2 linked regions of the Bombyx mori genome follow. The protein of the gene in region 1 purifies or fractionates together with the protein of each later gene. This does not show direct contact. Links are inferred from orthologs where the notes say so. Each region holds a gene or a part of one and is shown on either strand. Other genes may lie near its edges.

The links.
Region 2: the proteins of cytochrome c1 (region 1) and NADH dehydrogenase [ubiquinone] iron-sulfur protein 3, mitochondrial fractionate together in Homo sapiens (co-fractionation; 3 studies listed by BioGRID and IntAct, with this or other methods). This does not show direct contact. The link is inferred for Bombyx mori from reciprocal best matches to the Homo sapiens genes CYC1 and NDUFS3.

What each region holds. Positions count from the first base shown.
Region 1 is NC_085117.1:9,003,493-9,011,173, forward strand, and holds cytochrome c1, read left to right. Parts: upstream 1-3,466; 5' UTR 3,467-3,474; coding exon 3,475-3,543; intron 3,544-3,854; coding exon 3,855-3,905; intron 3,906-4,764; coding exon 4,765-4,913; intron 4,914-5,221; coding exon 5,222-5,348; intron 5,349-5,911; coding exon 5,912-6,029; intron 6,030-6,649; coding exon 6,650-6,831; intron 6,832-6,999; coding exon 7,000-7,230; 3' UTR 7,231-7,578; downstream 7,579-7,681. UniProt on the Homo sapiens protein: Component of the ubiquinol-cytochrome c oxidoreductase, a multisubunit transmembrane complex that is part of the mitochondrial electron transport chain which drives oxidative phosphorylation.
Region 2 is NC_085125.1:14,788,877-14,795,221, reverse strand, and holds NADH dehydrogenase [ubiquinone] iron-sulfur protein 3, mitochondrial, read left to right. Parts: upstream 1-2,783; 5' UTR 2,784-2,938; coding exon 2,939-3,736; 3' UTR 3,737-3,863; downstream 3,864-6,345. Other genes in the region: uncharacterized protein LOC110386536, read right to left, coding at 1,433-1,621; splicing factor Cactin, read right to left, coding at 5,979-6,167.

The sequences.
Region 1 (7,681 bases):
TAGTTCTTAAGAACTAAATTGTTTGTTTTAAAATAGGTTGTTTAGTTCTTATAGTTATAATACGTCTTATAGTTACGTTTGAATAGTTGTAATTAGTAAGTTAGTAATATATGAAAATACTGATATAAATTTTTGTAAATAACCTTTTGTAAATTCTACGAGAAGATGATTTTAATTAATGATCAAAAGTCAACGGTCTTCAAAAGCATTATTTGCAATTATTTAGATTAACTGTGGAATATATTTGCTAAGTTGTGTTTTCTGTATGAGCAGATATAAATGAAAATGCCCAAACATGATTGTTTCTTACATTTTCATTATGTGAAATCAATATGCTTGTGACTGAGTATATTAATAATTTATTAAAACTTCAGTGATAGACAGCAACCCTTATGGCACTGCTGAAGTTTATAAGCACTGGTGACCACTTATCATGAGCCGGGTTGCGTGCTCGTCTGCTGTTGAGTGCAATAAAAATTTTCGAAACCATTTCTATTATTTAGATGTAATATTAATGTACATTTAATTTGGATTAAAAGATAAATTTACATTTTATGTTTGCATGTGTATGTTTATAATTCATTTGCATGTAACAAACATCAGCTTCTTTTGTGACAAAATGCAAACTAATGGTTTGCAATTAATGTAATTAACTTTAAGATGATTTTCTTTCAATCTGCTGTTTGTTTCATCTAGTATTACCAAAGCTAAACCATCAGAAACGTCAGAATAGAAATAATTTAGATAGGGAATAAAAGTATAACTAATGTAATCATGTCTAAAATTACTATAAGCGTCATTAAGTACAAACTATCAATATTTAAGAGTACTTTTTAAATCATCATTACATTTTTTAAACATTTTTTGTTTTTTTTTTTGTTTTTCAAATCATGTAACAAAACGTTTGTGCAGAACAAAATGTCACATGTTATGAACATGATTGTGGGTTAATCGTTTCTTAAATTTCTAAATATTTATAAGAATGCTAAGATTAATTTAGTATTCAGTTTAGTGTGTGTATTATCTCTACAATGCTAGTTTAAATGACAATTATTGTATGACGAAGCATAGGTAGTGTTTATAGATGTAGTATTTTCATACATTCGGGAATTGATGTACTCCAATTTCTGAGCATATTGGTACAAAACAACGCGTCATTGTGCTTATAATAATTTTTAATCAAAAATTCCAATACAAATATTGAATGTTATGGGAACAATGCACACCAGCGCCACTTTGACAGTTGCCAACCCCATTAAAGATACAGGGCTGCCAGAATAAATTTTAGATGGACGGGTCAAATGAACTTATTGATCCCTTTGCTTTATAATTTTACTACCCTTATCAAACAACATTTCTTCGATATGTTTTAATACTGACTCCTATGTTATTATTATTCTTATTGAGATAAAAAGTATACCATAAGTGGTTTATATAGCAAATCAGGTCACTAGACCTGAGTAGACCTGGATGCCCTCTGTTATGGGTACCAGAGACTGACATACATACTTATATGCGCTTAAATATAATTATAAACATATAACTAATAAACACCCAAACAAAGAGCAAACAAACTTATTCTCCAAACGAATGTTTGCCCGATGTGAGAATCGAACCTGCGACCCTCGGCGCAATGGTTCGAGCCGGTAACTACTGCACCACCGAATCAGTCAAAGTAGTGAATTATTTAACTTTGTTAAATTAGTGTTTCTTCTGCTTTGAACGTGTAGATAAAACGGACAAATCTATTTTTTTGTCCTGCACGTGTTAAAATTTATTTAAGAAAAACACTATTTTTATCCTTTGTAGTATGAATATCTACATATATGTATATAAAATTTCGGTAGGCTTAGTGTTATAGTAAACTGGAAATATAACTCAATAGGAATTGTTTGATGAATCGCTTTACTAGGAATAAACCTAAGTTTTCATGTCACATTAAGCCTCCTTTTGTCAGTTTGAATTTTTAATGTGACTATACTTTTTTTTTTGTATAAATTCTTGATTTCTTCTTATTTTTATACGCGGCGGAGACGTGGACTTTGCGACAGGTGGAGAAAAAGAAGGTTGATGGTTTGGAGATGTGATGCTGGAGACGAATGCTTGGTACTGGAACTCAGCAATAGGCAGCGTCTTTCGGCGCTCGTACGTGGGCGCATACTATAATTTTATGGACATATCTCTCGGCGAAGAAATATCTGCATAGAGCGCCTTTTCGTTCCAGGCAAACTAGAAGGCACCAAATCGCGTGGAAGGTTGTCCATGCAATAGATCGACCAAGTCAAGTCGGCATGCAGTTGGCGGTTGTTTGCATAAGTGTACTATACTCACCACAAACCGGGAGAAGTGGCGATTGCTCGTGAGGCGCATAGTATCTGCCCACAGCAATGATACTGAATGACGAACACGACCGCTCTAACAAGAGTGATACGACAAAGGAGATACTTTTTCGAAACTTATTTATTAACTTTATTTCTTCCTCAATAGTTATATATTAACTTAATAATCACATGACCATATGCTCCATTTTTGTGGCGTCATATTTGAAACCAAAAGCATATCGGAGGCTGCGATGAATTTCTTGAGGGCTCTGATCGATGGGCTCAGCAGGACCATATTATCTGTATAACTAATGCTGCTTATAAAACTCCATCAATCGAACTGCAGACACCAACACTGCTGAGCTCATTCGGTATGTCAGCCCCCCTGCCTGACACAAACTCCTACTTACACTTACACATCCGATAGCGAACCCGACTATCTTACCACATTATCCTGATTCACATACCAGTATTTAAATAGTGAAATAAGTTTTACCGGAGAGTCCGTATCACTCGATGATTTTCGTTATTGAATATTCTATTGAATGATCGTTTTATTTTAATTTGGTCCTCCTATTGCTACACTATAAATTGCTTTATTTACTTTAACTTAGTTTCCATTGACGGTAAATGAATATCGGACACACTTTACTTGATATTACAAATTAAGTTTCTGCTGTAGATGTAAGTATTGCAAGCTTAAATGACAAAAACAAAACGAATTTTAATTTTGAAACAAAAAGAAGAAAGGAAAATTTGTATGAGTGAAATAATATACGAATTATTGGGGCGATATGCTGGGAAAGATTTGATGTGGAAGGCGGAGGATCGTTCATTGTGGCGGACTATGGGAGAGGCCTACATCCAGCAGAGGAGAGATACAGATGATGAAGTATTGCATAACATATTTATGATCGAAACCTTGCCGTCAAAAATTGTAAAGTATTCAAAATATCGGAGATTGTAGAATGTGTAAGTAAAGAAATAATAAACGACGTGTTTTACATCCAGAAACTTGAAAGCCTTCGAAAAAATACTGTATAATGACTTTGACTTCTGCCAGAAAAAAAGTTAATCGACCTATTTTTACCTCTGGCATTTTAGCTGTAGATGTCATTTTAGTCGTCATCTTTCATTACGACGGTTTTCAAACATGGCGGCCACCGTCGGTAGGATTTGTGGGGCACGTCTTTTGAAAAAATATGGTCTAGTTTGGCCTCAGGTACTAAAAATGTTCCTCAGAATCCCGTAATTCTCTAAAAGTAATTAGTGCTTACAGTACGATAGACATGTATGTTATCAAATGCGACAAAGTTGAAGTTCCAAGTGTCACTGAAAACTGGTGAATTTATCAATTTATAGTTTTTATCCAGGGTTCATAAGTTTTAATTCAAACGACGCTCTGTATGAAATGAATCCAATTAAATGTTAATATATCCGAGTGTGTAGAAAAAAATTGGATCTAAAAGTGATAACCTATTCTGCATTATGTAACAAGTACATATTAATTCTAATGCTGATCGAACATTGCAGGCTTGTCAGCTGTCCACCAACACTCAAGGATGGACAAAAAACAGAAAAGTGGTAAGTTTTGCTGTAACAAAATTTATTTTCCTACATAATATTAAAGCTACTAGTTTTATGAATTTTGTTTGCTTTTAAACTTTGTATCCTGAAGTTTTTGTGCAATTATCTTTAGTAACGAAGATTAAAAGGATCACTTAAATTAAATGATATTAAAAAAATAAATTGTCAATAATTACATAAAATATCAAGACTTATCAGTTGATGTTTGCTGATATGAAGAGTAATAATTGATTCATTAGTTAAATATTGCATCTATAAGTTTGATGAAGTCTGAAAAATTTATAATAACTAATTATTAGTAATATTAGTGTTGCTAATTTATTACGTATTTGAAATAGCTCTTAAATAACATTAAAATTTTATAAATTTAAAGATATGTATCTGTAATATTAAAGTTGAGTGTCACTTTATACACAAATATGGTTTTATGGAAACTTGACAAAACAGACTAATGATACTACTACTATGCTAAGAGTTATGGATTTTTTTTTTCCAATAATTAACTGACAAGAATAGTTTGGCTAGATAAATTTACTCCACAAGGCTATGCTATTGTTTTTGATAAAAATAAGAGGATAACATCTCTTAAAGAGATTATCTTTTAAAGAGTTTTCCACAGTGGTTTCAATCAACCATTGAAGGAAGGAAGGCCTACAGGTCACGTACCATTTAACTAATATGGTTGTAAAAAAATAATTTACACAAAAATAGGGGTATTAAAGGGTTACAATGTTTCTAATGTGAAACAGTCTTTTTTCCAAACTATGCCATAACTCAGAGAGATAACTACTAAATCCAACAGTTTTTGATGCATTTTGTGCATGTGCTCAAATTCAATCTAATAAACGTATTCCAGTGGCTGTCCACTTTGGGAGTGGTAGGTGGAGGTGTTGGAGCTCTACTTTTTGCACTTGAGCAGTCTGTGCAGGCATCAGGCTCTGAAGCTCACCCACCTCACAACCCTTGGAATCACAGTGGCTGGTTCAGCTCCCTGGACCACGCTAGGTGAGTTTTCACTCTTAGAGTTAGAACTCTAAGCATTTAAATTCAATTTCAATAATACAACAAAAGTCATAGATAAAATTATAAAGAAAAATTAACATTAAGATGACCTTTATGATCAAAATCAAGGACGTTCAAAGTCATAATGAATATAAAAATTATGTTTATAAAACATTACTGTAAGAAAAAATACAATTTTCTTGTTTTACTGTATGAAATGGATTGTAATTGTATATACATTAGGCAAAGAAAAACATAATACCTATCAAACATCATTTGTCATAGAACACCTAGTTCCATGTTTGTTACAGTGTCCGTCGGGGTTATGAAGTTTACAAACAAGTCTGCAAGGCATGCCACTCTTTGCAGTATATTGCCTTCAGAAATTTGGTCAATGTCACCCATACTGAAGACGAGGCTAAGGCTGAAGCTGCTGAGGTCAGTCATCGGTGATTATGTCAAATAAATGTTAATTTTATCCTGATGCTATAAATAAATAAATAAATATTTACTAACAATCACGCCACGTTAACTGGTCCCGTGATAAGTTCGTAAAGAACTTGTGTTACAGGTACCAGATAACGGATATAAATGTAAGATTTTTATTATACACATACATATATTTAATAGAATCCATAACCCTGGAAAAGACATTTATATTTATCATACAAATATCTTCCCTTGGCGGGATTCGAACACGCGACCCCCCTATGTAGTGACCATGTCACTTACCACTACACCAGACGGCCGTTAAATGGCCGGCTATGATCATGTGCGAGACATTAATACCAAGCATGATATAAAAAAATGACTCTAGGGATCAATTATATTTGATGTATTTTATAATTGTCAATAACATGCCCTTTTTATTACAAGTAGTCAGTTAAAAGAGAAAAATTACTTTCATATTCATTAGTTATAGGTTTGTCCAACATAGTAAGAACAAAACTGTCATAGCAGTACAATGTATAATATTTAATTGGTAACTTGAACATTTTCAGGTGATGATTAAAGATGGTCCTGATGAGGAGGGCAACTACTTTGAAAGGCCTGGTAAACTTTCTGACTACCTGCCGTCTCCATACCCCAATGAAAATGCGGCTCGTGCTGCAAACAATGGTATGTGTAGAAAATAATAAAATGCAGAGCAAAATCTTAGTATCATTTGTGAATGGGCCCACAAGAAATCAATGTCATGAAATCCTGTAGGGAAACTAAGTAACCTTGATTTCTAAAGGTCTGGGTAGTTAATATTTTTAATAATTGCCATGCCTCTTACTATGATGGTAGATGCAGTCATGGGTATTGGTTTGAAAGATGGAAGTCATTATAAAATGAAACTGAGACATCAAGCTTACGTCTCAAGGCACATGGCTCCACTTAACAACACTTACGGTAGGCAGCGGCTTGGCTCTGCCCCTGGCATTGCTGAAGTTCATGGGCGACGGTAACCACTCACCATCAGGTGGGCCGTATGCTCGTCTGCCTACAAGGGCAATAAAAAAAAAAAAAAAAAAAAAAACTTTCACTTAATAGATTTACATTAAAAAAAATTGCAAAGGTATTATGCATTGGTGTTAAAAACATATTAGTATTATTAAATTTAATGAAATTATTGAAATAGAAGAGAAAATTTTATCTGGATTTTAAAGATCAAATTTAAATAGTGCAAGTTAATAAGTGATTATGCTTGACTCCCTAAATACAAAACTAATAATAAAAATGTTAATTGATATCAGGTGCTTACCCACCGGACTTGTCTCTGATCTGCTCGGGACGTAAGGGCGGCGAAGATTACATCTTCGCGCTACTGACTGGTTACATGGAACCTCCTGCTGGTGTAGTGCTACGTGAGGGACAGAACTACAATCCATACTTCCCAGGAGGTGCCATCTCTATGGCGCAAGTTCTATTTGACGAAGTAAGTTTCATGGATAATTCTAAACTCGTTATATATGTCCATTGGTGATATTTCATTAACAAACAAAATTAGCCTTATACAAGAAGAATAGACTGCATTATATATTATTTTCTATACACATACGAGTAATATCAACGCCCTCTCTAAATATTATATTATGTTTGGCAGGCAGCTGAGTACAGTGACGGCACGCCGGCGACTGCGTCACAGCTCGCCAAGGATGTTGCGACTTTCTTGAAATGGTGCTCAGAACCCGAACTGGACGACCGTCGGCAGATGACCATCAAAGCTATCGGCATGTTCTCCATGCTTGCCGCCGTTGTCTACTACTACAAGCGGCACAAGTGGTCCACGCTCAAGTCTAGAAAGCTCGCCTACAAGCCCGTTTCTAAGAAATAAACGCCAACAACTTACAAGTAGCAAAACAAATGTTTTAGACAATTTTTTTTTTTTCTATAGGCACAGTAACATGTTAATTGTTTATAATTAAATTAATTTATTTTATCTACCATCGCGTGTTTACTTTGTTACACGGGGTGGCTTGCTGTGACTTTGTTACCATGCGTGGTCCCGTAGACGCGAAACCGTATTATCTTATGTAATTATGTTTATAGCATTTTGCCACTGCGAAGCCGTGGCACAGTCAAATTGTAATGTTAGGTGATCTGTCGGTAACTGTGCTTGTGATTTTCCATGAAAGCTCTTACTGTGAATCAGTGTACAGTTGAATAAATGTGTTAAAATCTATTGATTTCATCTTTTCCTTGACCTTCTCTTCCAAATTATGATGCAGCCCTAATATTATTTTAATGCTAAGTGTGTTAAGTGTTAGGTGGTTTCTGGAGCCCAT
Region 2 (6,345 bases), on another chromosome or scaffold:
CATGTTGACACACCGGAGACTTATACTAACTATACTAAGCAGTCACTCTCTTGGCGTCTCCAATATGTAGTATTTACCCATCCCATAGCTCACGAAAACGCAAGTAAAAGGTTGTTATAATGCCACTTTCCAATACTTAAGCTAATAAAACATTCAAAACTTAGGACACTGTTGTAATAAGCATCTATCTCACGGTAATCTAACACAGTGACTCATATAGTAGTGGAGTTTATATTAGTAGTTGATGATTTTAATTCAATTATATTTCATGTTTATTTATTTTTATTTATTAATAATACTGACAAATTTAATTTTAACTAAATTTTATTTTGATTCAAATATTATGTAATTGTATGTGAAATTTTAAAGGCTTAAGTGGCTTGAAATAAACGCATTTTATTTATTATTTTATAAACTTCATTACTTAAAGCTACTTTTACAGTTTGATCTCACATTTAACATTTTCATTTCATTATTTCTTTACAGATACTTTAGGGGTTTCGTGGTCACAGACTACTTGGGTGTAACACACACACAACACTACATTTTAATGTTGGGCTACATCAATTTTTTCTATATAAAAAATGACATTCATGTTTCTTTCTGTTGAAATAATAAAGTGAGAGCAATAAATGTAAAATTAAACAGTGAAAGTAATTTTATTTATGATGATTAGGGAATCTATTTGAATGTTTGCTTTGTCTGATAATAAGTAGTCCCGGCTATTGTGTGTTGGGCTTCAAAGTCAATCCCCCGTCAGAGTCAGTATACATATATCAGATACTTGAAATTCAGGGTCTGGATGTTGTTGTTGTAAGTTATATGGGTTTCCGGTAATTAAATCATAACACTGAAGAAAATCTGAATTTGGAATGTTGAATGTAAAATGTTAATTATTTTTCACCAAAAAAAGGTTGAATCAGCTGATGTTCACACGCTGGCTTTTCTTTAAATTATAAGTTCACAAAATAGAAGTAAGTAATCTTTCCTTAGAAGATTAATCTTCTATAAATGAAAGATGTACATCATTTATTGTTAATATATTGATTGACTCCAAGAACTTCAAGTTATAAATGATACTTTTTAATTTTAAATTTTATGTACTTCTTCAATGAAATAATTAATGTTAAGACATTAACTACCACTATGGATTTTTCATAATTAGAGCAAAGTTTATTTTAATCATGGTATATATTAAGAACTTTAATATTATTAATTGTAATACTAATTCTTGCTTCAAGAGTCTGATAGTGGTTGTGGTGATAAATTGTAAGGTGGGGCAGTGGCTGTGATGTTTATGTATTATAGTAATTGTGTGTGTAACGGCAGTAAGAAATTTGCCATCTTTATCAATAAACAGATAGCAACATACCACACTATGCAGGCAGAAATTATTACTACCAACTATTGAACTCAATTCACAAAATCTCACCAAGAAACAGTCACTGCAGCGTTCTTTGAGGAAAGTGAGTAGATCTCGATATCCATATTTGGCTATTGGTATGTGCTCTCCCATCATACTGCGGTAGTCCCTCAATAATGAGCGTAGGTCCACTTGCGTAGGACTAGACACCACAAGGGACCGCAGGACTCCCTTCAATTTTTGAAGATCCTCCTCCATAATTGTTTCTGTTGCAATTTAGAAAAAGAGCCTAGTATACTCTTTCACCCATAATTTTTTAAAAAGTGTCATTTCAATATAGTTATCTTATCTTTGTAAGCATTAGAAGATGCTATACAAAATGTTTGTTATTTTAAGATATCTAGAACATATGTATGCATAGAGCCTTCTAGTACAGTATACTTGCATATAACAAGTGTACTAATGTTAAACATTGCATAAATGTGTACCTACCAAGAGTAAGGTTTTACCCAAGCACTCAATATGATCTCTTGAGAATAAATGTCATGTTGGGCACATCTGATCAAAAATAAATTCAAGGTAGAGTGAAATTTTCCAAACCAAATGGATACCAGTATAAATGGATTCCATGGATACCAGTTACCACAGGGTCAGAAGCTTATTTTCGGGCATCGATAATACAGTAGACAGGTAAGAGGGATAAAATTATAAAATTGGTTGTATCATAACCGTGACAATTTATACATAATAAATTCATTTTGATGTTTCGCAAATTTAACGAAAACTCGACACTGTTATTAATTTCGAAAACAATATATAAACAAAACTTTAATAGTAATCGTCATACCTGTTGATTTCGCCTGAAAGAATATTGTAATTTTATGTAGATTTTCATCAAATAATCCAATAATTGCTACAATATTAGTGTATCTATTGATTGCATTTATGGTATTCTTTTAAATAATTGCTTCTGTTGTCTTTAAATAATGTTTTTTATGGTTATGTTTAATTCTTCTATTGGATATGCAAAGGAAACATAGCCCATAAAGAAAACTGTTATAATACAAAGCCAAATCTTAAATTTAAATAAAATGAAAGGGATTTAAATCAGATCTACTTTATGTAACTATACTTGAGACCTTAGAACTTATATCTCAAGGTGGGTGGCGCATTTACTTCCTAGATGTCTATGTGCTCCAGTAACCACTTAACACCAGGTGGACTTTGAGTTCGTCCACCCATCTAAGCAATAAAAATAAAAAGATCAGATACAACAAAACCGTTACATACTGTTCTGTAGAAAAACATTCTAACTGTAGGATAATAAATGTAGAAGAGAATAGGTAAATTTTTATAATCCTAAAATCGTCTAAAATTTTTATTTATGAATTTCGATCCCGTTTGTTCTAGCGATCCTTCTTCAAAGATTTACCTTTCGGGCCGTGTACTGTCTAGTGTGTCTAGTGTCAAATAAAACACAAAAGTCAAAGTCAACTATGTAATGTTTATGTCGTTTCCTAAGATTTTCGATCGAATTTAATTACGTAAGGAATTAGTTTATTTTGCTAGAACATTATGTCCTTCTTCTTAAAACGCACTATTGGTGCGGGAAACGGCGTCGGACGAGCTATTTTAAACAGTACCAAAATACCTGGTGTCCAGCGCGTAGCGACAAAATCTACCGAAAAAACCCCAGTACAAGAGACACGACCAACTGTAGCCAAATTAGATCCACTGCAAAAGGCGCAGCTCGTCGACTTCGGCAAATATGTAGCTGACTGTCTACCCAAGTATGTGCAGAAAGTACAGCTGACTGCCGGCAACGAACTAGAGGTGCTCATCCCTCCGGACGCAGTCATCCCGGTTTTATCCTTTTTGAAGGACCACCACAGCGCTCAGTTTGCAAACCTTGTCGATATCGCTGGCATGGACGTACCCTCGCGCTCAAACAGATTCGAAATCATATATAACATACTTTCTCTACGTTACAATGCCCGAATAAGAGTCAAAACTTACACTGACGAGTTGACTCCTGTAGACTCAGCCTGCGATGTATTCAAGGCCGCAAATTGGTACGAACGAGAGATCTGGGACATGTATGGAGTATTTTTTGCTAACCATCCTGATTTAAGAAGGATTTTAACAGATTACGGTTTTGAGGGGCACCCTTTCAGGAAGGACTTCCCTCTAAGTGGATATGTAGAAGTTCGTTATGACGATGAGCAGAAGCGTGTGGTGGTCGAACCCCTTGAGTTGGCACAAGAGTTCAGACGCTTTGAACTGAGTGCACCATGGGAGCAGTTCCCTAACTTTAGAGCCAACCCTGTAACAGAGGAAGTAGTGAACCCGTCTGAGGATCAACCAAAAAAATAACAATCCATAACTGATTGTGCAATTTATCTGAAATGTAAATTTTAGTAACATCTTTCTCGACTTATATTAGTTCTGGAAAATATTTCAGAAAATTAATCTTACAATAAAGAGTAAAAATATAAAGAGATAATGCCTATTATTTTTTCAACCTTTGTTTGAAACAATTTTTGTATTGTTAGATAATTTGTTAAAATTGTAGTGATATTCGGATGACAAGTGGTGATGGTCCTATTAGTATAGATAGGAAATTAGCTTACCTTCCAGCTAATGTAGATATTACTAAAGACCATTTACAATAAAATGAATACTGCAGGGATCAATTTGTAATTTGACTGATGTATTTTTTTCCTACCTATGCTGATAGCCTTGAGAGGCTATATCGGCGTTACCCTAACGGGTAGGTGAGCTCTCGGGGCTCAAATCGGACGTGTTGCTAACACTGGCCCTAGCAAGAGCAGTGCTTCGCAGAATCTACCACCGGATCGGAACTACGACCCACTGAGAAAATCTGGTGAGAAACTCAGTGGGCTGTGTCTGAGGGTTAATTTGCTCGCCGAACTCTTCGACGAGAATGATGACCGGTACTTGAGGTACCTAAAAGCACCGGTAGTGGATTGGGAGGATCCGAAATGACGTCTTTTTGGCAACGGTGACTGATTAACATTCGGTCCGCAGGATCGATTATGTAGTTACCGCCGGCCACGACAGGAGAGTTTTCGTGTCGTGCCGCCTTCTCCAAGTGGCGCGTTGATGCCGACTGTATATACTTACTGATTGCGTCAAGCTCCAGATTATTATGGAGATGGACCGATGTGTTGATTTAGAATTGTAAAGCAAAAGTTATTGAATGGATATTTTGGCAGTTCTCAGTAATGTAGATGTGTTCGACATTTTTAAATTATGTTATTACTTAGATGGGTGGAGGAAGAGATTACGGCCTACCTGATGTTAAGTTGATACTGGAGCCCATAGACATCTACAACGCAAATGCCGCCACCAACCTAGAGACATGAGTTCTAAGGTCTCCGTTTTAACAATACAACGGCTGCCCCACCCTTCAAACTGATAAGCAATAGTGCTTTACAGAAATAGGCAGCGTGGTGGTACTGAACTTTTTTTTTTTATTGCTTAGATGGGTGGGCGAGCCACAGCCTACCTGGTGTTAAGTGGTTACTGTAGCGCATAGACATTTACGACATAAATGCGCAACCTTGAGATATAAGTTCTAAGGTCTCAAGTATAGTTACAGCGGCTGCCCCACCCTTCAAACCGAAACGCGTTACTGCTTCACGGTATAAATAGGCAGGGTGGTGGTACCTACCCGCGCGGACTCACAAGAGGTCCTACTACCTAACTACGAACTACGCAAAATATATTTTTTTCGGGTTATTTAATAATAAGGAGATGATGACCGAGCTTTGCTCGCTTTTTTGTTGATAACGCTATCTTGTTGTGTCTTTAAAACGGTTAGTTGCCCTCAATTAAGAAAAATAGTATTATTATTCGCCAATAGATGTCGGGAAGAGTTGATTATTGAAAACACGAATAATACAACATTTTCTGAAAATAAATCGTAGCTAGATCGATTTATCGCCCCCGAAATCCCCTGTATACAAAATTTTATAAAAATCGTTGAAGCCGTTTCCGAGATTCAGATTATCTATATTTTAATATACAAGAATTGCTCGTTTAAAGGTATAAGATTTTGCGCGTTTGATTTTTATTACATGGTGTCATTCCTTCACTGTGGAAGTAAGTCGTGAACATTTGTACATATTTCATTAGAAAAATTGGTACTATTGGTATTCGAACATTGCTCGATACGAATGCACCGATAATTTCTTTTAGTCGTTCTTATTTTTAAATATACTTCAAAAATTTTGCTAGTTAACTTTGCCTGTACAATGCAGAAGACATTTAAAATAAGGCATACAAAAGACCAATAAGGAATCTTAATTTTCTTCTTGCCCCTATCCGACATTATGTGAGGTCAGCACAGCATGCTGCATAGACACAGTATCCTCCTTGGGTTACATCTCCAGTAGTATACCCATTGCAACGTATCATAGGTACGGACGTTACCAGTTTCTTCTTTTGGTTCTATAATTTGCATTCTATCATTTACTCGTATATATAAAATATACATTTCTAAGTAAAAGAGCAATATTCATTATGAACAAGAATAGGTATTAAAATGACAAACCAATTTGTGTATTTAACTTTATTGATAATATCTCTAGCCCTAGCGTCTATACCGATATCTCTTGAAATGAAACCAAAGTTGAAAGATGTTGTTGTGGAAGTGACAGCGGAAGCCTCGCTTGTAGGAGTACTCCCACTCGCGGTTGACGATCTTGAAGGCGATGTCCTCGTAGGGGGGGCCGGCGTGAAACCGCAGCACTGCGAACTCCGCGTTCTCGGGGCACGGCTTCTGCAACGTGCGTCACCGTATTACCATACTACCATACTGTCATAATACCATCAAGGGCGGATCCAGGGGGGGGGTCATGGGGGTCATGACCCCCCCCTGAGCTGGTTCCGGCACCTAGGTGGACCACATATTGAACATAATGATTTAAGGACACAATACTTAGTCTGGCCATAAATAC